3 linked regions of the Alligator mississippiensis genome follow. The protein of the gene in region 1 purifies or fractionates together with the protein of each later gene. This does not show direct contact. Links are inferred from orthologs where the notes say so. Each region holds a gene or a part of one and is shown in the gene's direction. Other genes may lie near its edges. The genes, in order: EPS15L1, ITSN2 and AP2S1.

Region 1 (7,540 bases):
GGCTCCTGGCAGATGTTATATTTAATATGATTGCTAATTAGCCAGTTTGTGCAATTAACAGCACAATGAAACCAAATAAGACACAAAGTTATTAAAAAAAATATATGCAATACCTTTGTAGCTGGTGTCCTTTTTTCCCCTTAATTGAATATGTGGCTAGCGCTGAGTAGCTGACTGGCATTCCCAGCCATGGGAGGAGACTTGAGCACCCAGCTTGCTATTTACAGGATTAGGGGGAGCCTGGGATTGTGGTCTTGGATGCGTCCTGCACTGGCAACAGAGCAAGGTTGCATTCCAACTCCCCAATCCTACTATCACACCTCCTGCCATACACGTGTTGCATGGCAGGAATCCCAATTGCTGGGATCACAGATCAAATTCTGTCACACCTTTAATGACATCTGCCAGGGACCTTAGCAAATGAGGCTTTTCCTTTTCTGACAGATTAACTTGTTTAATCTTTTAACAAAGGATAATAGGTATATTTTTCTTTCTTTCTTGAACTGGTTGGGTAATGTCTCTTGCACGTATTATATAAAGTTGTGTTAATATTGCTATCTTCTTTATTATATATTTTAAAGGATTGGGATGAACCTGAATACATTCCAGACACTAGTGCCGAGAGATCTAAAGACTGGAACAGTGTGACTGATGGAGAATGGCGACACCCTATGATCAAGAATCCACTGTACAGAGTAAAATCATTCTAGTCATGTATAACTTCTTTAAACTGCTTGTTCTTTTGGCCAAAGGTATCAAGAATCATATGGTTTGTTGTAGGGTGAATGGAAACCAAGGAAGATTAATAACCCTAATTATAAAGGAGTTTGGCCCCATCCACAGATTGACAATCCAAACTACTTGCCAGACCTCAACATTCTCAGCTATGAGAACATTAGTGTCATTGGACTAGATATTTGGCAGGTCAGTTGTTTTAAATTCCTGCAGGTAACTAGAAATTAAAGTACTTATTCCATTCCTTGCCTCTACAGAGGTGTTTGTCGAACTTTTTTCTGTAAATGTCACTTAATGTGTAGGAAGGGTAGGGGTTAGCTAATACCTGTGTCAGCCTGCCCCCCCCCCCGCTTTTTAACTTGCCTTCATTTAAATATGTAATTGGCTGTGTTTTACATAGAAGTCAAATATTGCATTAAACAGATCTAATTAAACCACTGCTCTAATGCTGATGACTTCAAGATTTAATGAAAAATGAGGGAATAACATTCTTGTGTTTTCATATACTTTACTAAATGTGACTCTTCAGTGCATACTTTACTTATGCTCAAGTATCGTATGATGATAGGTACATATTTTTTTCTTCCAAACTAGTAATCCAAGCTACTATGGACAAATGTGGAAGTAAAAAAATGTCTAGAGTGTCCAACTTTCATTTAAAGAAATGACAGGGCCTTGTATTCTGGAGTACAATTCTGGCATTCATGGGACTATGTGCAAAATGTAGAATTCAGCAGCATCCTATATTTTAAGTAATTAAAAGGAATAATCATGTTCCCTGACAATATAGTTTTAGCTTAACTTTTTCCACCCAACCTTCTCTCCTTCCATTCAAGGTGAGAGCTGGAACAATTTTTGATAATTTCTTGATCACAGATGATGAAGAATATGCAGAAGATTTTGGATATGAAACCTGGGGAGAAACCAAGGTAATGAATTAAATCCTTGTCCCTATTTTAGCCACTCATTATCAAGTTAAAGGATTGGAGTTATGTAAAGGGGTCTGTCTTACGCTTTTTATTGAGTCAAAGAAGGAGTGTCCCCAGACACAAACAGTATAAAAGACAACTATTAGGCTGCTTTTTTAGGATCTCCCCTCAAACCCTTGTAAAAGGAATGTACAGTTCTGTGGAGGTTCCAAATAGGACTGCAGTCCATGAGAGTGTCCTAATAAATTGCCAGAGGTCTCTAGCCCATAGAGCAGCTCAGGGTCAGGAGAGAGAAAAAGTTGCTCAAAACCAAATGGACTGGTTCTCATCTCTTTCTGAAACACTTGCCAAGCATACAATCTGTGCATAGAATAATGAATCTTTGTTTAAATGAACGTGAGTTTGTTGGCTATACAAGTATCAAGTTCTTATTCCAGCACAAGCCTAAGTTACCGCATGTTTTAAAAGCAGCTTCTTTGCAAAACATTGAATAAATATAGTACCTAGAATCTTCCTCTGCAGGGGCTAGTACTGTCTTATGCTTACTTCTGAGTTGCTACGGCACCCAAAACTGGCATAAAGCTGAGCTTTTATAGTCACTCCTGTCTTGGTGCACTCACTTTTCCCTCCCGCAAACCTTTGCCAGCCACAAAAAAACTTGAAAAATCTTGGATGCCTGTTACTAATAAAGGCCTTAATCTTGCAATTCCTCTATAAAGAACTCCTTACCATTGACTTAAATGTAAAGCTCAATGAACAGAAGGCCTTGCAGACTTGGACAAAGAAAACCCCTCCATGTCCTTTTCTCTTTAGGACCCTGAAAAGGTGATGAACATAAAACAGGCTGAGGAAGAAAAGAAAAGGGAAAGGGCAGAAGAAGAAAAACGCTTCAGGGAAAGGTTTAACAAGAAGGTAGAAAAGAAAAAAGAATCAGGAAAGAGTAAGTTAGGGAGGAATACTGTCCAGAAGGAAGAGCTTTAATTCTTATTTGTGAAGTATTTGTGGAACTATCGGAAAGGTTTGCTTTTTTTTTTAAATCTGCTGTAAAGGTTTTGATGTCCTGTTCCCTCCTGCTACCCTCCCTTAGTAACAAGCACTCAAATACTAGTTAAAATTTGTTTTGAGAGCCTGGCTAAAATATTATTAATTTATCAATTTTTTTTTCAAATATTTTATTAAGTCAGGCTTCTTAGTCTAAGAATGTTAGATTGAAATGGAATTCAATAAAAATACCAAATGTATTTCTCAATGAAGGGTGATTTCTACTCAGTGGGTCTCTACAGGGGAAGCTTTACTGCACAGTAGACTTTGAATGTGTTACTTTTAGTGTTGACTTTGCTTCTCTGAAGATGGACTATCCGGTCCTCTCACTCCCAAAGGAGGCCTTTCACTATCGTACTCTGTATCAGCTGCAGAAAGACACAAAAGCCTGTGGCAGAACACTTCAGCCTCCCTGCCGACTCCACTGCTGACCTCAGGATTGCTGTTCCCAAGCGTGAAAAACCCAAACAAACCCCAAAACAAAAATGAATAACCCATTTGAATGGGAAATTGTGGGAACAAGAAATCCATCACAAACTGGTCTGTTAGGTTAACCTAAGTGAAATCTTAGTTTCTAAAGGTGAATATCTGCCCTCCTTTCTGACTGACTTCTGACTAAAATGACTACCTGGCTCCCTGTATCCATCATGTTTCCTTTGCAGATCTACCAGAGGGATCTTCCCTTCAGGTAGCTGTTACTTTCTTTTAAGGAACAAAGCTTTTTGAAGGGTGGGGAGGGATGGAGAAGCAGGGGAAGAAGCCTGGCCTATCTTATCTAAACACTTGCTATCCCTTGCTAATTACCTAGCCTAGGCTAGGGGTTGGCAACCTATGACTGGTGGAGCTATTCTGGCTGGCCTAAAATGCCACATCTTCATCTGCATGGTGCCTGGACAGCAGGAAGAAGTAATAGGAGTGGCATCAGAAAAATAATCCCAGCCTGCTGCTCCTGAGGTGTTGCTGACCTGTGACTTAGAGGCATCTAACTTCAGATGCCTCTAAGTAGGTTTCCCACATCTTGTTCAGAGAAGCCAGAACAGCTGCCATATCTTGTGAACACTGGTATTGTCTCTTATTCTCTGGCAGTTCCAGGCTAATGCTGTAAAAATAAATGATACGTTGTAAAGCAAAGAGTTAAGTGAGTGAGTCTCTGGTGTTGTCCAAAAGCTGAAATTCAGATTGTTTTATTATCCAGGAATTCAGAAACGCAAGCAGTGGAACTTGCCCTAATAATCCTCAGTGTAATATCTTGACTGAGTTACTTCAAATGTTTTCTAGTAACAGCTCATGAACAGTGAGACAGGGGAGGAGCTGGGGGTAGACAAGTCGGGTAACGAGCGTGGCGGGGGGGCACTGGCATTTGAAGGGGGAGCCCGGTGTGGAGACTGGTCTGACTGGCGGGGGAAGGAGACTGATGGACGGGGTGGGCTGGCTAAGGGGCAGACCAGCAGGGGAGTGAGACAGCAGAAGCCCTGGGAAGGAGTCTGTGTTGTAATAGAAACCGAGGACACGTCCATGCAAGAAGAGAAGTCAGCAGGAAGGTGTGACCCGCGCGGAGCAGGCGGAGCAGTGAGACGTGCATGCACTTGACCTCTCGGAGGAGCAGGCCGACCGGGGCTGCTGGGGAAACAAGGGCCGGCTTGTGGCTCGGGCCTCGGCCGGGCTCCGCTGCAGGTCGGACGAGCCGGCCGCCTGTCCGGGCAGCGCGCGCGAGAGACAGAGCCCGCCCCGCCCCGCCCCGCCCCGCCCATCGCTCGCCCCGCCCCCTGGCCGCCCCGCCCCCCGGCCGCGGCCCGAGTCCGCGGGAGGAAGATGGCGGCGCTCATTCCTCTCAGCCAGCAGGTAGCCGGCCCGGCGCGCGGGGGCGCGGGGCAGCGGGGGCGCGGCGCGGCCACCTGAGGCGGGCGCGGGTGAGGGGCGCTGGCGCGCGAGAAGCCGGGCCCGGGCGGCTGCTCCTAGTTCGCGGGCACGTCCGGCTGGTAGGGCCGGGCCGGGCCGGGCCGGGCCGGGCCGGGCGCCACTGCCGCGCTGGGCCGGGGCGGGCTGCGCTGCGGCTGAGCCCGGGGGCGCCGGGGCACCCTCGGCTCCCCGCGCGGCGCGGCGCGGCCCGGCCCGGCCCGGCCCGGGGAGGCCAGGCTGGTCCCGGGGAGCCGAGCGTGGGGCGCGGCGGCGGGCGGGGCAGAGCCTGCGCCCGGCTCGTCCCGGGAGTGCCGGCTGTTTCGGCTTGGCGCCAGGGCCTCCCCGCGCCGGCCTGGCACCTGCTGCGGGGGCGCCCTGCTTCCTCGGCCGGCCCTGCGGCGACGGGCAGCGCTGCGCGGCCTGGGCCCCCCGCCCCGCCCCGCCCCGCCCTGCCCCTGGCAAGGCCAGCCCCGCTGTACAGGCTGCGCTGAGGCTTGGCATTCTTGCCTGCCCGCATCTTGTTCTGAGCTGTTTAATTATTTTCTTATCCTTTAAATAACAGCGCTGGCATTGCTTAGTGCCCGGCCCTCCCCAAATGTCATCTAACTGATATTCTGTGAGAGCAAAAAACTACCCCTGCCTTAAAAGTGAGATGCTTTTCGGCACTGTGCCAGGTCAGTCAGGACTGCGGGAGCCGACGTGCCCTTGGTATGCCAGACATACGTAAAAGCACATCTTTAAATCTATTTCTTATGAGAGAGAGTTCTGAATTCAACCAGCATCACGTTGTATATTGAGTGTCCACTGCCAGAAATTTATCTTCATAATGCAATATTTGAGAATCCATAATAAGAGTTACCAATAAAACATTATACATTTTGTTTTTGATTAAATGCTAGTCTCTTATTTCCAGTCTTGAGTTCAAAATTATGCCTTTCTCCACTAGTTTTTGGGGATACGCAAAACTGTACTGGAGAATAGCTTTGTAGCAATCCCCTCAGACGCGTGCGTTTTTGCCAGAGGTGAAAGCTTTTCAGTCCACAATCAAAATGAGTCCTTTTTTGTTCAGAACTTATAAACCTAAAGTAAATTTTGTTTGCTGGATTGGGTTCCTGATCCGAAATCATGTAAGTCTTGATAATTTTTCAAATGTTTCAAGCGCTGTTTGGTCATTGATCATACTGACTGTTTCTGCCACCTTGATGAATCTGTTTAGCAGTCAGAATATTGTTAATTATTATTGTTCTTATTATTTGTATGCAAACCACTGTGCTATGCAAGCCTACATGTTCCTTGTACTGGACATAAGTAATGAACTTGCACTCACTATTGCTGTTTAAAAATAATAGGAAGTCCAGTGAGCTTCCTGGTAAAAAAAAATTAGGCATATGTGTACTGATAATCAGCTTAGGAAATAGCATAAAGGTGTGCTGAAAACAGGCGTAAGTCACACTTTCAGGAGTTTTGCCTTTTTTTGTTTATGGTCAAATTGGGTGCAAAACTTGTAATCTGTCCATTGTGTCATTTAAAAGGACTATAAAACATTTTCTTTTTGGACATTAATCAAAGTTAATCAGACCTAAAATTAAAGATAATTGGACGTATGTTTAGCCCAGCCACTGGGGCTGCACAGGTAACTGTACTGAAGTTCAATGCAGCAGTCTAACCTTGGTGGATTATTTTTGAGTGTACATCTATCCTGGTCTATCTTAGACCTGATTCCACCTTTTTAGACTAGTCTGTATGTACTGGACTTCTATACTGTTACAGGTTTAGATTGATTTCCAGTCACTGAGACTGGGTCTAAGTGTAAGATCCATACCTGGGCAAACTAAATTGGATTGGGTGCTCATTTTTAAAACAATTTAAATTGGATCAGCTCCTCCTCCTCCTGCCCTAGCTGTGCTGCTCCGGTCAGCAGGTAGCACATGGAAGCGGTGGGGGATATGTGCCAGGGGGCAATCCGCAGCTGGGTAGCTCCCACCTCAGCATGTGGGGCTCCAGCTTCCAGCCCCCTTCCACCCATTCCGCCTGCCCAGCATGATGACCAGCCACCCATGGGTGGCCAAGCGGGTGGAAGGTGGCCAGGATCTGGAGCCAGAGCACCGCACGATGCGGCAGGAGCCTCCTGGCGCAAAGTGAGTATGGGCAGGACTGCGACATGGGCTGCCCTGGGTGGGAGTGGTGGGGCTTGGCCCCACGCATAGCACCACAGGGGCAGCCGTGGGCCGGGCAGAGGTGCACCATACCTGCATTGGCACCATACCGCCCATGTGGGCTCTGCTCCGTGCTACTCCTGCCTTCCCCCACCTCCGGCCGTATCCCAGGACCCAGCACACAGGCAGCTCCACGCAGACATGCACATTCTCCCCCCCCATACCCATACACACACCCTACTCCCCCAAACACAATATACAAGAGTACGGCTTTATTTTGAGATATTATGCAATCATCTCTATATACACTACTCAAAAAAACATAAATCAGGGCAATTTTTTTTTAAATTAAAATATGTTATAGTAGATGTTTGATTTTTATATATGATTTTTTAATCTATAATTTGTTAAAATGATGTCTTCCAAAAGATTTTGTGTACTCACTAAAACTCGTTAAGTGGCCCGCCTGCCAAAATAATTGCCCACGCCTGTCATAGTATTACTATAACATTCCTAATAAATCAAGTCTTATTACAGTGTTATGGCTATTTTATACATTTAGGTTCTTGCTCTTGAAAATACATGTGCAAAATTAAGCTTGTGAGTAATCACAAAAAGTTTAAATCAGTAAGGCTGCTCTTGTTGAAAGTTAAGTTATGCCCATGAGCTTACAGGACCAGGTCTAAGGAGCATTCATATAAAGTCATATAAAGATTTTGTGTAAGCCGTTAGTTTTTGGCAGAATTTCTGTAACTCAATTGCCTGCCCTTAGATTTGTTT
Region 2 (7,510 bases), on another chromosome or scaffold:
AGTCGTCACATGGCACCCAGGAGACTGCCCAATTGGTGGAGTTCTGGGCAGCCTGGGTATAAGACCAGGCCCCAAGACCAGAGCCAGCCACTTGCAACTGGGGAGCCAAAGAATGAACATCGCGTGACCTGAGTACTGCTGCTCTCAGGACATCTGGAGGTCAGGTTAGGAACCGTAGGGATAGAAAAGGTCCCTGGTCCTGGATAAGATATGAAACTATACCCTGCTGGGTTTAGATGGTGTGGTGGGGCTGCCTGTGGTCTCCAGGAAATGCTACACCTGTGCCTCTCCAGTGCAAGGTACCATATAGCCTCAGCCCCCACCACCTGGTGGGTAACCCCATAGAGGGAACAGATTAGGGATCCAGGCATGTCAACAGACACTTGAGGCCTAACAGGTATAAAGCCCAGAAGCCCCAGTGAGAGGGCAGAATTGTGGCCCCAGTGAGGGGGTGGAGTGAAAGCTGGAGGCCACGTGGAGTAGGGCCCATGGGGGCCTGAAGGACTGCGCATAGGTCAGCCAGAGTAGTGGCCCCAGTGAGGGGGGCAGAAAAGGCCAAGGTACATCTGAGGACACCTGAGGCCAATTGTGGGCTGGAGGCCAAGTGCAGCCCAGCAAAGGGGCCAGGGGAGTTGGAAGTCATTTTAGATGCCATCTGTGAGGCATGAGACATGGTGTAGGAATGGTTCAGAGTCATGTATTACGCCCTTGGCATCAGGACACAAAAGGGGCAGCCTCCTGCCTAAAAACAACTATTTAATTCCAACAAAGCCGTGGCAGAAAAGTCGGGTGGGTGGGCCAACTATGAGGCTGGCCTCGCTCCCTGTCACACTTGTGAATACTGCAATTCCAAATCACATCCTAAGTCACAAGCACAGCAGATATGAGAACATAGAACATAAGAACTGCTATTTCCTGAGTCAGAGAATGGGACCATTTTGCCCAGTGCCCCGTGTCCAAAGAGGGGTGCCACCACTTTCCCCTGGCTGCTGCTGGGCCAGGAATCAGAAGGAGCCCTGCTGAGCTGCTGTAGGCTCCTGCTATTCTTACCACCACTGTGTGTGGACCTACAGCCCACCATCACCACCCAGGTGCCTGAACTGTCTCCCCCAGCCCCAATCAAAGCCACCCTTGCCACAGACTCCAGCATATCTTACAACCTCCAGCACATCCTGCAACCCCAGTACAGACAGGAGAGAAGCAGGGTCCCCACCAAAAACCCTGAGGGAGATGCTGCACAGACCCACCGCCAGCTGTCCTGCTACCCCTTGTGCTACCCCCTTCCCCACCACAAGGGGCTGTATCTCCCCCTCTCCTGGTGTTGGGGGACGTAGTGCACTGGGTGGTTCAGGCAGTGCTCTGCTGGACCTTTGCCCCCACAGGGGCAGAGGAGGAGGAAACGCCTGTCCCACCAGGCCAGTCTCCAGAGATGGATGCTGGGATTCTTCTGGCTGGAACAGCACTGGGTCTCTGCAGATGTCCTGAGCCTCCCCTTGTGGGACAGCAGACAGGGCCTGGTCTGCCTCTGCATCCAGGTCCACAACTTCTGCCTTCAGGCCTTGGAGAGGCTCCTGTACAGTGCCAGTAGCCAGGCAATGTGGTGTAGTCTATGCCCTTCATTTGGTAAGTAACCCCAGACTGTTAAACGCTATGTCAAGGCCTAAAGTCTTTTGGAAAAAAAAACTGCTTTTTGCTGCTGCCTCTACAAACGCAGTAATCTTCAAATAACCCTTTTAGGATTTGAAACAAGACTAACGGTTAACTATAGGCAACATTAAGTACTAACTCAGACAGAATATGTCTGGACTTAACCACAATAAGGAAGAGAGAGGAAAACATAGAAAACAAATTATATCACAGTTAAGATTAATCATAGACTAACACAGGAATCAGCAACCTCCAGCACATATGCCAGAGCATGGCACGCAAGGCCATATTGCTCAGCATACCACAGATGGCCTGGGCTCTGGGCAGATGCTTCTGGCCACGGAGCCTGGGCTGTTCACAGCAGGCGGCTGAGAAGCTGCAAGCTGTGTTGCATGCAGCCCATGCTCCGTGGCAGGCAGCAATTGCCTAGAGCCTAGGCTGCCTATGGCAGGTAGCTGGGAGGCTGCAAACAGCTGCACCGGGCTCCTTAGCAGCCACAGCTGCACACGTGTCTCTGGGTGTAGGGTCAGGAAGGGGCTGCAGAATGCATGGATGGGAAAGAGCTGGGGTTGCTGAGGCACAGCTGCCACTGAGCCCATCCATACTCAAGACCAGTACAGCTTGTTTGCAGCCTCCCAGGTGCCAGCCACAGGTGACCCAGGCTCTAGGCAGCTGCAGCAGGCAGCTAGGAGGTTGCAAACAACTGCACCAAGCTCCAGAGTTCCAGCACTGGCTCTGTGGCAGTGGTGGCAGCTGCACACATGCCTCAGAGCACATGGTAGAGAAGCGGCCTGGGGCAGCACAGGCAGCAGGCAGGCTGCCAACAGCTGCATAGCTTCCCTGCCATACTAAGTCCCCACTCCCTTCTACCTGTCTTGCCACCTTCCGGGGCATGATGCCACTTCTCTTTCTCCCATTCCCTCACCAGACTGCTCCTCGCCCCAAGCTAAAGGATAACTCGTACAGCATTACCAATTATCAGTATGTGAATGGTTAAGTGTTCACATCTCTATTTGCCACAGCCTAAAATATTTTCAAATGAGGTCCAGCAAAAGAAAGTTTGAGAACCCTTGCACTACTTAAACTGGTTAAGAGGCCTATATGTACTTAGTCATGGATAGCAAAAACCCAAGTTGGATACTTGAACGTTTCAGCCAGCGTGGAGAGAATTGTATGGTTTTGTGCAGAAAGGGGATCATGTTGTTTGTGGCCTGTGTAGTAAAAGAGTGGTATCTTGTACTTTCAGCATCCAGTGCCATTTCACAACCAAGCACTAAGCCAAATTTTCTGGAGTCAATGAAGCAGACAAATTTGAGTGCATCAGACAAGCTACTGATTCGCTTGAAAAAAACAGACCCCCAGCTTTTCTAAGTTTGTAACTAAACGTGCTCTTTCCACACAGCCAAGTTACATTGCAGCTGTAGCTATAGCTAGGAAGGGCGAGTGCTTACAGACAGAGAGGACTTAAAGAAAGCTTTCTGAAACAATGCCGAGGAACTGTTTCACGATTTTGTGAATAACGAAGCCATGAAGAAACGCCATCGGCAGCCAGGACAGCTCAAAAAGGCGCCCATGAGTTCCACCCTGAAGTTACAGGCTGAGAGAGAAAGAACTGCCTTTCATTACTTTTAATCTCACCACCTGGCGTCATTCTGTGACCCTTACTTCTTGTATTGTGAGACAGTCAATAACAAACCCCTAGCGACTTTCTCTGCGTTGTTTCGCATTTTGTAAACTCTTAATGTTGCCCTTCAAACCCCTCTTTTCTAAACTCAGTCAAGCTTGGCCTCTTCCTCCCTCCTCACACAAGCCCTCCACACCACCGATCGTCCTCGCCACCTTTCTCTGCGCCGTCTCTAGCTTTCCTATACCCTTTGTGAGGTGCAGGGACCAGACCTGGGCACATTTTTCAAGGTGCGGATGCACCACGGATGTCTAAGGGGGCATTTCCCGCGATACTTTCCGTCGCGTGGAGTCAGGCAGTCATTGGTACGCAGCAGACACTTGGCATGGGACGAGCAAGCATGAGGCCAAACCTTATGTCGGACCCACAGGCCTCCTCGCCCGCTCCCTCTGCCCGGCCCCTGGGGTTGAGATGCACATTCAACCGAAAGCTGGCTGGAAACCACCTCCGGAGCCGCTACACATTTCCAAGCACTAATTCTGTTGCCACCCGGCTCTTGGGGGAGCAGGACAGACGTGGTTATCACCCGACTTGGCCCGTGGGGCCAGTCCATGTGAACTGTGCGCTCCACCAGCAACTTACGCCATGCGGGTAAGGTGCAGAGGGGCCAAGCCCGGACGCCTGCGGGGCGAGTGGGGGAGGGGGGGCTCTACCTTCTCGCTCCTCGTCGCTCCCGAAGCTGAGCAGGTCCCTGCCCCCCCGCGCCTGCCGGGCCCCGCCTTCGCCTCCGTCCTCCGCCGCCTCTTGGCCCCTCGCGCTCACCGTCGGCGCTTCCGGGAGCCGCGGGGGACCGGGACCGGGGTCGGGGCTGACAGGGCCCTGCCGCTGCCGCTCCTCCCCCCCCTCGACGCCGGGACCCGGCTCCTCCTCGCTGCTGGCGGACTGCACCCGGCGGCGACCCCGGAAGTGACGCGGACGCCGGCGGAACATTCTGTCCGGTACCGGTCACGCAGGCCCCGGTAGAACGCCGACGCCCAATGCGCATGCGCGCCGCAGCCCGGCTAGCTGAGGAAATGGTGTCGACCAATCACCTGTTGCTGGCTCCGCCCCGTGGGTGTCACAAGGGAAGTGGGCGGGGCAGAAGAGGGTGCTGGCCAATGAGGATGAAGTGTCTTTAACCCTCCCCTGGCTGGGACGAAGTGGGGTGCGGAGCTGGGGAGTTTTGAGTGCTGTCGCTGCGGGGCGGCGCTGGTGGAGGAGCGCGCTCGGCGCGGGCGGTCTTTCCTGGAGGACCACGGGGGAGCAGGTGCGGGTCGCTGCCTTCTCTGGTAAAGCAAGCGGGACCCGTGCAAACTAAGTACGGTAGCACGTGTCTTCTCCTCGTCGTTGTTGTCTCTGGCTCAGAGCTGGGGGGCTGGAGCCCCGGGGAGAGCCGCCTGCCTGCCTGCCCGCCTCCGGCTTCAGAGGATTTGCTGCGGAGTAAAACCCGGGGTTAGTTGCACCACAGCAGTGGTGGGAGGTGTCTGCGCCCTTCCTCCTTGCTGGGACGCTGGCACTTGTATGCGCTTCAGGTCTTCGTAGGATGCATTTGGTAGCCCGAGACGGAAAGAAATGCAAAAATCTAGAGCTCTTAGTTCAGAGATGAGACCTGTTATTAGACCAACGAGAAAATCGCAGACACAATTCATCTTTTTTCTGCGAGCTTTCGGGTGGGGCAAAATTAATCTTTTTCTGCGAGCAAGGACAGCCCCAAAAATAAACGTCAAATGCCCTTTGTCGGCCTCTGGGAAAATTAAAGATAGTGAAAATTCCCAATAGGTAGGAAATAAACTTCACTTTTGCACAGACAGAGGGTGCGGAAGATGGAAATCTGTCCCTCTGGATCTATGAGCGTGTCTTTGTGAGTTGTTCTGAGTTGCTCTTGGTTGTGTAGATCAGGTACGATTCCTTCCCTGGAGGTGTCAGATGGCAAGCAGGGAGTTTAGAAATCTTTCTCATTGTTAAATGAAGTTTAAAATCCAAAACTGACTAAAATTCAAGTCTTCATAGGCAGGCAAGGTTCTTTGGGTAGATGTGTGATACCTTTTACTAAACCAACTAAATAGTTGGGAAAATTGTTTTCAGGCACAAACACCCTTCTTCAGCCTAGGGAGTCTGGTGGTATGATGTGTGCTGTCCTGGGTAGAATAGAAGCCAATTTGCAAAATTCAGGTTTGTGAAAATGCAAATGCGTGGCAGTGAGGATCAGAGGGAATGGGGGACAATAGGTGTGAGACTGGTAAGTTGTGGGGAAGGAGGATGTTGATCTGGTGATAGAACGGAGCTGGTAAAATGCAGACAGGTTACCTGGGGTTATCGGATGGCAGGCAGGTTATAATGTGTGGTAAATCCAATGTCTGTATTAAGTGCATGATTTTTTTTTTTTTTGTATCCAGTAGATTGATGAAGTGAAGTTTGTAGACTTGCCTTTAAGGATTAGAACCGAGAGATGGGAGAGAGAGCGGTTGTCTTGTGAGAAGTGGGCACCCTTGAGTAATTGGGTAATTAAGTCTTCATAGAGTCACAGAAAACTAGGGCTGGCTGAAGCAGGATGATCCCTATCCGAGCCACACTATACAATAACTCTGTGTAAGACTACCATCAGCCCTGACACCGCATAGACCTAACACCCTAGCATGCTACTGGTAACACAAGGGAATCACAGCAAAGAGTGTCCTGCTGCTTTTCTTGTAAATATGGGCTCAGGAGATCCCAGGCAAACGTTTCTGCAGTTGTTTCTTTCTGGCTACTTAAATTCAATAGTAAGGCAACCTCTCTTATCCACTAGACAGCAATTTATGACCTGCATACAAGCTGTGGGTCATGGTGAGGAAGTCTTTCCATACAGCTGGAATCAATTTCTGCTTATCAATATCTTTGTTTATTCCTCACTATTAAATTGTTTAAGCCAGGGGTGCTCAACTCCTGGCCTGTGAGCCAGATCCAGCCCACAGATCTATGTAATCCAGCCAGAAGGGCTCCCTAAGTGGGGAAGTGGTGGTATCATTAATTGTTCACCCCCTGCTGCTAAATTTTCAGACCCATGTGGCGCTCCGTGTGCCAGATAACATGGCCCTGTGCACCAGATCATGCTAGATCACACCAGTGCGCAATTGGATCCAGGCATGTGGGGATCAAGCTGGTGTGCTGGATCCCACATGCCAACCCTGCATGGGACCTGGCCGGCATGCTGACCGTGCCACACATCCAGCCCGCTATAAGGTTGGTGCCCCTAGTTTAAGAACATGACTGAAGGGATTTGGCTATCATTAATCCAAGATACTATCTGGTCACGGAAAAGGTATGGGTTTTGGACCGGAAGAGCAAATCACTGGTTTCTAGCATGTCTGGACAAGCACCAATACTGCAGAGGAAGTGAGCCAAACTATGAAGTACACCAGAGGCATTAGATAATTTTGTTCCTTCTGCTCCTTCAAAGAATGGACAATTTTATCTATGATCTGTTCAGCTGACAGTAGGGATTTACACCTATCACCTTTCAGAACATTGTGCTGCCTATAACTGGGATTTGCTGACTGACTGCAGGCAGCGAGCCAACTAAATTTCAAAGGGAAGGCACTGAAGACTTGAAAAATATGAAAGATCTGGTTGTTTTAAGTATTTCTAGAGCCTTTATTTTCATAATATCTAGGCATATTTTGTTGTTCTCTCTACAGAGAAGCATTAGCTCAGCTGGAGATAATGTAGTAAGAATAGAAAAAGAATCTGTGATCATTGTAAACAGTATTTAATACTCCTCCCTTCCTGCTCCCTCCACTCTCCCCAAGTCTTTCATCTTAATTAGTCTCTTCTCAATCTTGGTTTCTGTATCTACAGTCATCCTGTATCTATGTCTGGAACAATCTCCTTGTTATTCAGCTGGTCTCTCCCCCTTCCCATCGTCCTTCCTACCTGCTCATTAGTCACCTCTTTGCCTTGAAATGCAGTCTAGAAACCTTATTGTATTTTCTTTCTGTGATTATAAACTCTGTGGGATAGGTGCTATTACTTGACTGGCTTGTAAAATTGAATTATAAGGATACATGCCACAACTAATAATAAGTGTCACTCATTTGTGTGTTAGGCCAAGATAGAAACAGTTATTTAGATTTTTTTTTTTTTAAGTGCAGGATAGTGGTGTACAGGTCTGGGGCAAACCCTGGGGGGGCATGCACAGTTGCAAATGTGTGGATTCTGAGA
Region 3 (7,012 bases), on another chromosome or scaffold:
AAAGCGGGGTGGGCCCAGCCCCGATCCAGCTGTGAGGAGGCGTGGCCCAGCCCTGATCCAGCTGCGGAGTGGGAGGTGGCATCCCGATCCAGCTGTGGGGAGGCATGGACCATCCCAATCCAGCCATGGCTCGGTCCCATGGGGGGAAGGGAGCACAGATGTGCAGGGTTTGGGAGTTTGGCAGCGGGGAGGGCGGCCGTATTAATTGCCATCACTCCCCCACCACCAAATTTCCTGACCGGTGGAGAGCCCGGCGGGCTGGACGTGACGGCTCCACAAGCCGCCTTTGGCCCACGAGCCAACGGCTGAGCGCTGCTGCCCTGGATCATCCCCTGAACTCAGGTGTGGTCACACGCCCTCAGGGGAACATTAGCTCAGGTATGGAAAGGACTGACAGCGAAGCACCAGAGGCACGCACAAGATGCTCCAGGCGGCAAGATTTTGCTTTACAAATCTGGCTGAGAGACGTGCATTTCATTATTATTTATGACTGCAGGACGAATGAGACAATAGCTCTGGCCCCCTTTTTTTTTTTTTTTTATTAGTTTGTTGTGTTTTTTAAGCTTAATATAGAAGCTAGCAAATGAGTCTGCACTTCAGTAAAGTGCTGTTTGTGTTTTGCTTTGCTCACACACTGAATAATACAGCGCTGGGCCCCCAGTGCATTAGTAAAGCTTCTAGTTTCTCTCTAAGTGGAGAAAGGCGTGTGTTGTGTTAGCTGTGATCACAGACAGCGAGGGCAGGAAGGGATCTCCGGAGGTCAGCTCTAGTCCAGCCCCTGCTCCGAGCAGGACCAGCCCCAACTACATCATCCCAGCCAAGGCTTTGTCCAGCCGGGTCTTAAACACCTCCAAGGATGGAGACTCCTCCACCTCCCTGGGGACCCTGTTCTTGTGCTTCACCACCCTCACAGTGAGAGAGTTTTTCCTAATATCCAACCTCAAATTGCCTTGCTGTAGCCTGAGCCCATTGCTCCTTGTCCTGTCATCTGGGCTGACACTATCTGCACCCCCCTTTTCAAAACCCTAGATCCACCCGTGTGCGCTGAGGACATGGGGTCCGGCGCCAGGCCCAGCAAAGCAGGTTACAATGGTATGTGTGTCGTGTCACACAGGATCGTAGGAAAGTCGGCCTCACAGAGAATCCGGCTGGGCAAGCCCGGCACTCCTAATGCAGGGCAGAAGGGGGAACCGACCAAAAACGTCTTTTCCCTTTAAACCCTCCATAGAAATCCTGGCGTGGTGGGGTAGGCAGAGGTCACGTCTAGTCTAAGGCCCTGCCCGAGGCAGGATCAGCCCCGTCTGAACCAGCCCAGACAAATCCACCACCAAACCTCTTTGGAAAACTACCGTCAACCTTGACACAGCATCAGACATCGCATCCGAACCTGCTCCAGGTGAGGCAGGGGGACCACGACACCCGATGTCCTGCTGCTGGAGGAGGCTGTTCAAATACACCAGAGAGATCCCAGGCTGAGGCCACGTCCCCACTGCGGAAGAAAGCAAAGCCCCCCCAGTCCGTACCAGTCTGACTATGGGAGAAAATTCCCAAATGCAGCATCAGTCTGACCCTGAGCAGCAAGGTGAGACCCTCTAGCCAGGACCCTCAGGCGTAGGTCCCTGCAGATACATTGGCACAGGCTAGTTGCCATCCCCAGCCTGGGCTGCAGCCAACACCCAGCGGCTCTGAGGAAGGCCTAAACCCCCCCGGCACATCGTGGAGGGGGGCAACCAGCGAAGCCCAGAAGCCCGGGACATCCCCATAGTGGAGCATGGGCATCGCTACGCCTAGATCACCCCAGCCAGTGGCTGCCCAGCCTCCCCTGGAGCCCCTCCAGGGGTGGAGAGTCCACAGCTTCCCTGGGCCTCACTGTAAGGGGGGCGTGACGGAGGGGTTGGTTTCCCTTCCAGCCCCATGCGGCAACCAGCAAAGCCCAGACGCCTGGGAGCTGCTTTTCACCCTTGGGAGGCAGGAAGGAAAAGGCACGGACCCGTGGTAGTGCTCTCCTGGCAGCTCGCCTCTCCAGCCAGGCACTGAAGTGGCCGGGTCCGCGGGTCGCCTAGAGGACAGGAGAGCTGCCGGGATTGCGATGGCCAAGAAACCCCAGCTGGAGTATGAGGCACGATGCCTGATGTGAGATTTAGTCTAACCTGGATGGGTATCTGCCACCGCCCGGTGCTGCCCAGCTGTCCACAGAGGGTCAAATGATGCAATACCTGTGTCGCCTGCACGGGCCAGGCTCAGAGGCACTCAGTTCCTATGGGTTTCATGCGAGTCAGACCCTGAAATACCTTTACAAAGCAGTATCAAAAAGCTTGGGAGAGGGAGATGCCTCTGGGGCGCACGCCAGAGCCCAGCACTTAGAGAAGAGGCAGCGCCCGAAAGCTGTAGATCGCCCATCGGGAGAGCAGGGCGCTTCATCCTCCAGCCCCGTTCCTCCGTGGTCTAGCATCCTGGCGAGGCGGTTTGAGCCTTCTGTAAACTCAGCCCCTGCTCGGTGGGAAATAATCACAGCTTCAGACGGCCGCCGGTGACTCAGGGAGGCTATTTCTGGTTCTCCTCGCAGGTCCCCACTGGAGACAGGCGTGGCTTTATCCCCATCTCACAGTGGGGAAGCTTGGCTCCGGGAGAGGAAATGACTTCCCCGATGACAAGCAGAGCTGGGAACTGGAGCTGTGGCCTGACCAAAGCATCCTTGAGAGGATAGTAACTTGCTGAAGACTCTTCCAGCCAGCAAAAGTCCCAGAGAAATCTGGAACCAAAGGAGACAGCATCCCCACGCCGGCTCGTCCAAGTCTTTGCTCCTCTGTGCGCGCAGGAGACGGCCCTGCTGGGCACCCGCCTGATGCAGGGGCGTGGGAAACAACAGAACAAGGGGGGGAAGCTGCTGAGCTGCAAGCGGGACCGACCGGACCGGCAGGCCGAGGACGATGCTTCGGGCAGGGCGTGGAAGGAGCAAGGTGCTGAAATCTGCTGCGCGAGACTCTGCTGCGTCAGAGATACCCCGACGGCTGGGACCCCGGGTCCACCTCTCCCGCTGTCCTGTGCCGCTCCCCGCGTGGCAGGGCGGGCTACCGCTCCACCCCACTGCCAGCATCGCCCCAGCCACTTGGCACTAGGCACTGCCTGGTCTTTGCTGAGACCAGAGAGCGGCCGAGCCCTCTGGGAAGCCCACGGGCACGAGAGGCCGGAGGGAGGCGTACGGAGGATGCCGTCGGCAGCCCAGCCTGGCTGCGGGCGGCTGGAAAGCCTCTGGGAACTGCGGTTTCACAAGCCCCAGCACGGGGCCCAGTCCTTCGCTCCTGCCGGCAATTCGTGCAGCACAAACAGCTCCACAGACAGTCGAGAGAGGACGTGTTGTCTGCACCGCGGCGCCGCTCAGCCGCGTGTCCTAGGACCCCTCCTGCCCTGGGCCCTGGGGGACTCCCCGCCGGCGCGGCGCGGCGCGGCGCAGGGGCTGGGCTGCTGGAGCGGAGCAGGAAGCCGGACGACGCGCAGCGCCCGGCCAGCCCCGGACACCGACGTTTCTGCCGCGGTGCTGGCCCTGCCGGGCTGCGCGAGGCCGCTCCGAGCCTGGCGTGGTGTCAGGTCCAGCCCGGCGTGGCGAAGCGGCTGCACGATGCATTTGTCGGGGTGGTTCGGATAGAGCCGGTCCTTCTCCCTCCGGCGGGGTTGGACTCGATGTAGGGTGGCCAGGCGTCGCGGGCGGTCCCGGATTTCGAAGTCGGTCTTGGTCTCTGGGGTGGGGGGCACCGGCCCCTGCGAGCCCCCAGGCAGGGCCGGGGGCCCAGGGCGGGTGCGGCCTGCGAGGCCTCCCAGAGCCGCGGCCTCGAGTAGGGCGCTCGCCCGGCGGCAGCCGCCCCAGTCCGGAGCGCGGCGCCTGGAGCTCGAGCGCCCCCTGGCGGCGGCGAGGCGGGGCTGGGTGGGGACTACAACTCCCGGCAAGCCCCGCGGCTTCGCATGGGAGGAGGGACCCCCGGAAGTGCGCGCCTCCTTTGGAACTACAACTCCCGGCGGGCCCCGCGGCGAGGGGGCACCCGCCGGATATCCGGTGGGGTGGGGAGTGGGGCAGGCAGTGGCCCAGAGCAGCTGTGCGGGGTCGGGCCGTCATGGTGAGTGGGGGCTCCGTGGGAGCTGGGGTCCCCTATAGGGATAGGGCGGGAAATGCCCCCTATAGAGACGGGTCCTTCTAGGGAAGGGGTGTCCCCTATAGGGAAGGTGGGGGTTCCCTATAGGGAAGGGGTGGGGGCAAGTGCCCCCTATAGGGGAGGGGTGTGGGGGGGGCCCAGCCAGCAGCCCCCAGTGGCAGCCCCTGGCCCGTGCGTGTCCGCGTGGGAGCCGGCCGTGTGGGGGGACGTCAAGGGGGGGTGTGCGGGTGTGCGGCTGGCTCTGGGGTGGGCCGTGGAAGGGCGGCCCCCGCGGGGCTGCGGCGCCGGTTGTGGGCCCTTGGCCTCGGCGGAGTCCCCCAGGGGTGCAGGCCCCCTGCCCCGCGTGGGCGCGGGGACGCTGCAGCGCGTGGCCTGGACGTGCCGCGGGTGCCGGGGACGGGGTCTCTTCCCTCTCCTGGGCTGCGCCCGTGCTCCGTGGGCGCTCGACCCCGCGGGGTCCATCCTGGAGGGCCTCGCCGCTGTGCTCGGGCTCCGACGGATGCCGCGTTTGGGGCGAGGCAGGGATTTCGCCCCGCGCAGAGCGGCGCGGACAGGGCGGCGCTGCCCGCCCCTGCAGCAGGGGCACGGCCTCCGCTGCCATCTCTTGATAACAGCCTTTGACGGCGCTGCCAGCCGCGGCCCCCCCGCTTTCCCGGGGGAGGTTCGGGGGCGATGCGAGGGCTGACGGTCGTGTTGCTCGGAGGTTCGACGCTGGGTTTGCCTGGGCTGGTTGGGACGGGGCTGACCCTGCCTTGGGCAGGACGTGACCCCTGGAGCTCCCTTCCAGCCCTTCTGCAGGGTTACCGGGCTGCCCCGAGGAGCGGGAGAGCACGTGGCATAGAGCCGGCGACGGTCCATCTCCCGACACGGGTTCACCGGACCCCCGGTGCCCGGGCTCCTGCAGCTGGGAGGTGCCCGGTGTGATGCCCGCCAGCGCTCGCACCGTGGAGGCTTTTTCCTAATGGGACCTTCGGGTGCACGGGGCAAAGTATCTGGAGGTTGAGGTGTTGGGGGTCCCACCGCTGGTTCCTAGTGGGGGTGGCAAACACAGCTCTGGGCTGGGTTGTGGTCAGGATTTCCTCTGAGGAAGCCCTTTCCCCCCGCTCAGCAGAACGGAGCTCGTGGCCTTTCCTGCTGAGCGCGCACTGGCGGGGAGGCAGCTCCTTCCAGGAAGCCTCCTCTCTGCCCCCGCCGACCCCGCCAGGAGTGCGGCGGTGCGGGGCCCGACAGCTCCAGGGGACGGCGAGCCCCGTGGCTGGGGGACGGGACCTCCACGAGATCTGGGCTCCTGGTGGGAGAGGAGAGATCGCGGGTGTCGGGCTTGTGGCAGGGCAGAGCCCCGGCGTTCCTGCCTGCAAAGGGCTCTGTCCCAAGCCATCCTGAGCTGCCCTGGTGCCTCTGCTGTGGGGCGTTCCCCTGCAGCGCGGCTCTTCCTTCCCCTATCGCTCTGCGAGCAGCTGGGTGGAAGGAGAGGCCTGGTTGGCTTTGCTCTGCCGGCGGGGAGGTGGGGTCGGTGGGTGAGGGGAAGGAGCCAGACCCCCTGCAGCAAAGGGGGCAGCTGAGAGGGGGCAACCCGCCCTGCCCACTGCATTGGGCTCCCCTGAGGGTCTGCACCCCTCGAGCCGTGCTGTTGTCCGTGACCCAGGCGATGGAGCCTGACCTCATCCGCTCTCCACGCAGATTCGCTTCATCTTGATCCAGAACCGGGCCGGCAAGACGCGCCTGGCCAAGTGGTACATGCAGTTCGACGACGACGAGAAGCAGAAGCTCATCGAGGAGGTTCACGCCGTGGTGACCGTGCGGGATGCCAAGCACACCAACTTCGTGGAGGTACCGCTCTGCCGGCGTGTCACGGCCCCCGACACTTGGGGAGGGGGTGGGCGGGACGTGAAGGTGTCGGCTCCTTGCCAGATCCACCTTGATGTGGGTGGATCAACCCGTCCAAGGAATCCTGGCCCAGCCCCGCCGTGCGGCTGACAGCAGCTTGCTCTTGCACCGCGGGCATGAGCTTCCAAAGTCTCCCATCGTAGCGGGAGGAGCCAGAGGCAGGGGGAGGGAACGTCGGCTGGCACCGAGAGCGGCTACCTGGGACTGGGAGCTCCTGGGTTCTGCTGCTGTCTTGCTGCGTGCAGCTGGGGTGAGGGTTTTCCCTGACAGGAAGGCAACTGAGAGGACCTGGGGGCGCAGGGGTCTCCTCCAGGCCGTCTGCTCCCCTGGTGGAGCCTCCACCGTCGTCCTCTCCCCTCAGTTCCGGAACTTCAAGATCATCTACCGGCGCTACGCGGGGCTGTACTTCTGCATCTGCGTGGACGTGAACGACAACAACCTGGCGTACCTGGAAGCCATCCACAACTTCGTGGAGGTGAGCGCTGGTAGGAGGTGGCTGGGCCTGGTCTTGGGGGCACGGCTCTCGGACGGTTCCTCAGGGAGATGGAGCCTTCCTCGGTGATTGACCGGCTGTCCACATCTCCCTCTGTGCGTGCCTGGGCCAGCCAGCAGCTCCTGTCCCTCGCCGCGAGGCTCCTCCGGGTCTGTGGGTTACAGGGAGCAGAGCAAAGCCCCACCTAGCACTCGCTGGGCTCTGAGCAACCGCTGATGGCTTTGCTGGCTGCAAAAGACCCGTTTCCTGCCCTGCGTCCCATGCGGTGGGGCTGGGGGGTGAAGCTCCAAGGAGGGCAACGAACCATCATGACCGGTGCCCTGGGTTGCTTCAAATCTCATCGTCTCTGGGCACCTCATGGTAGAAGCTGTGCCCGAGCCCTGCCGTCGGATCTCGGCTGGATGCAGCAGGGGGGCAAGCAGGGTCCCCTGGGCTGAGTTGAACAGGAGGGCACGCCGGTCTCGTGGCACCAGGTGGCACAAAT

The links.
Region 2: the proteins of EPS15L1 (region 1) and ITSN2 purify together in Homo sapiens (affinity purification with mass spectrometry; 5 studies listed by BioGRID and IntAct, with this or other methods). This does not show direct contact. The link is inferred for Alligator mississippiensis from reciprocal best matches to the Homo sapiens genes EPS15L1 and ITSN2.
Region 3: the proteins of EPS15L1 (region 1) and AP2S1 purify together in Homo sapiens (affinity purification with mass spectrometry; 4 studies listed by BioGRID and IntAct, counting the BioPlex papers as one, with this or other methods). This does not show direct contact. The link is inferred for Alligator mississippiensis from reciprocal best matches to the Homo sapiens genes EPS15L1 and AP2S1.

The regions. Positions count from the first base shown.
Region 1 is NC_081839.1:339,537-347,076, reverse strand, and holds the start of EPS15L1 (epidermal growth factor receptor substrate 15-like 1), read left to right. Parts: upstream 1-4,480; 5' UTR 4,481-4,517; coding exon 4,518-4,547; intron 4,548-7,540. Other genes in the region: CALR3 (calreticulin-3), read left to right, coding at 582-695, 781-924, 1,572-1,664, 2,478-2,645.
Region 2 is NC_081824.1:15,602,890-15,610,399, forward strand, and holds the start of ITSN2 (intersectin-2), read left to right. Parts: upstream 1-4,510; 5' UTR 4,511-4,577; exon of another isoform or gene 4,578-4,599; intron 4,600-4,643; exon of another isoform or gene 4,644-4,762; intron 4,763-6,919; exon of another isoform or gene 6,920-7,510. Other genes in the region: intron Large complex component GCFC2, read right to left, coding at 3,985-4,261.
Region 3 is NC_081838.1:647,956-654,967, reverse strand, and holds the start of AP2S1 (AP-2 complex subunit sigma), read left to right. Parts: upstream 1-4,007; 5' UTR 4,008-4,109; coding exon 4,110-4,112; intron 4,113-5,828; coding exon 5,829-5,978; intron 5,979-6,396; coding exon 6,397-6,510; intron 6,511-7,012. UniProt on the Homo sapiens protein: Component of the adaptor protein complex 2 (AP-2). Adaptor protein complexes function in protein transport via transport vesicles in different membrane traffic pathways.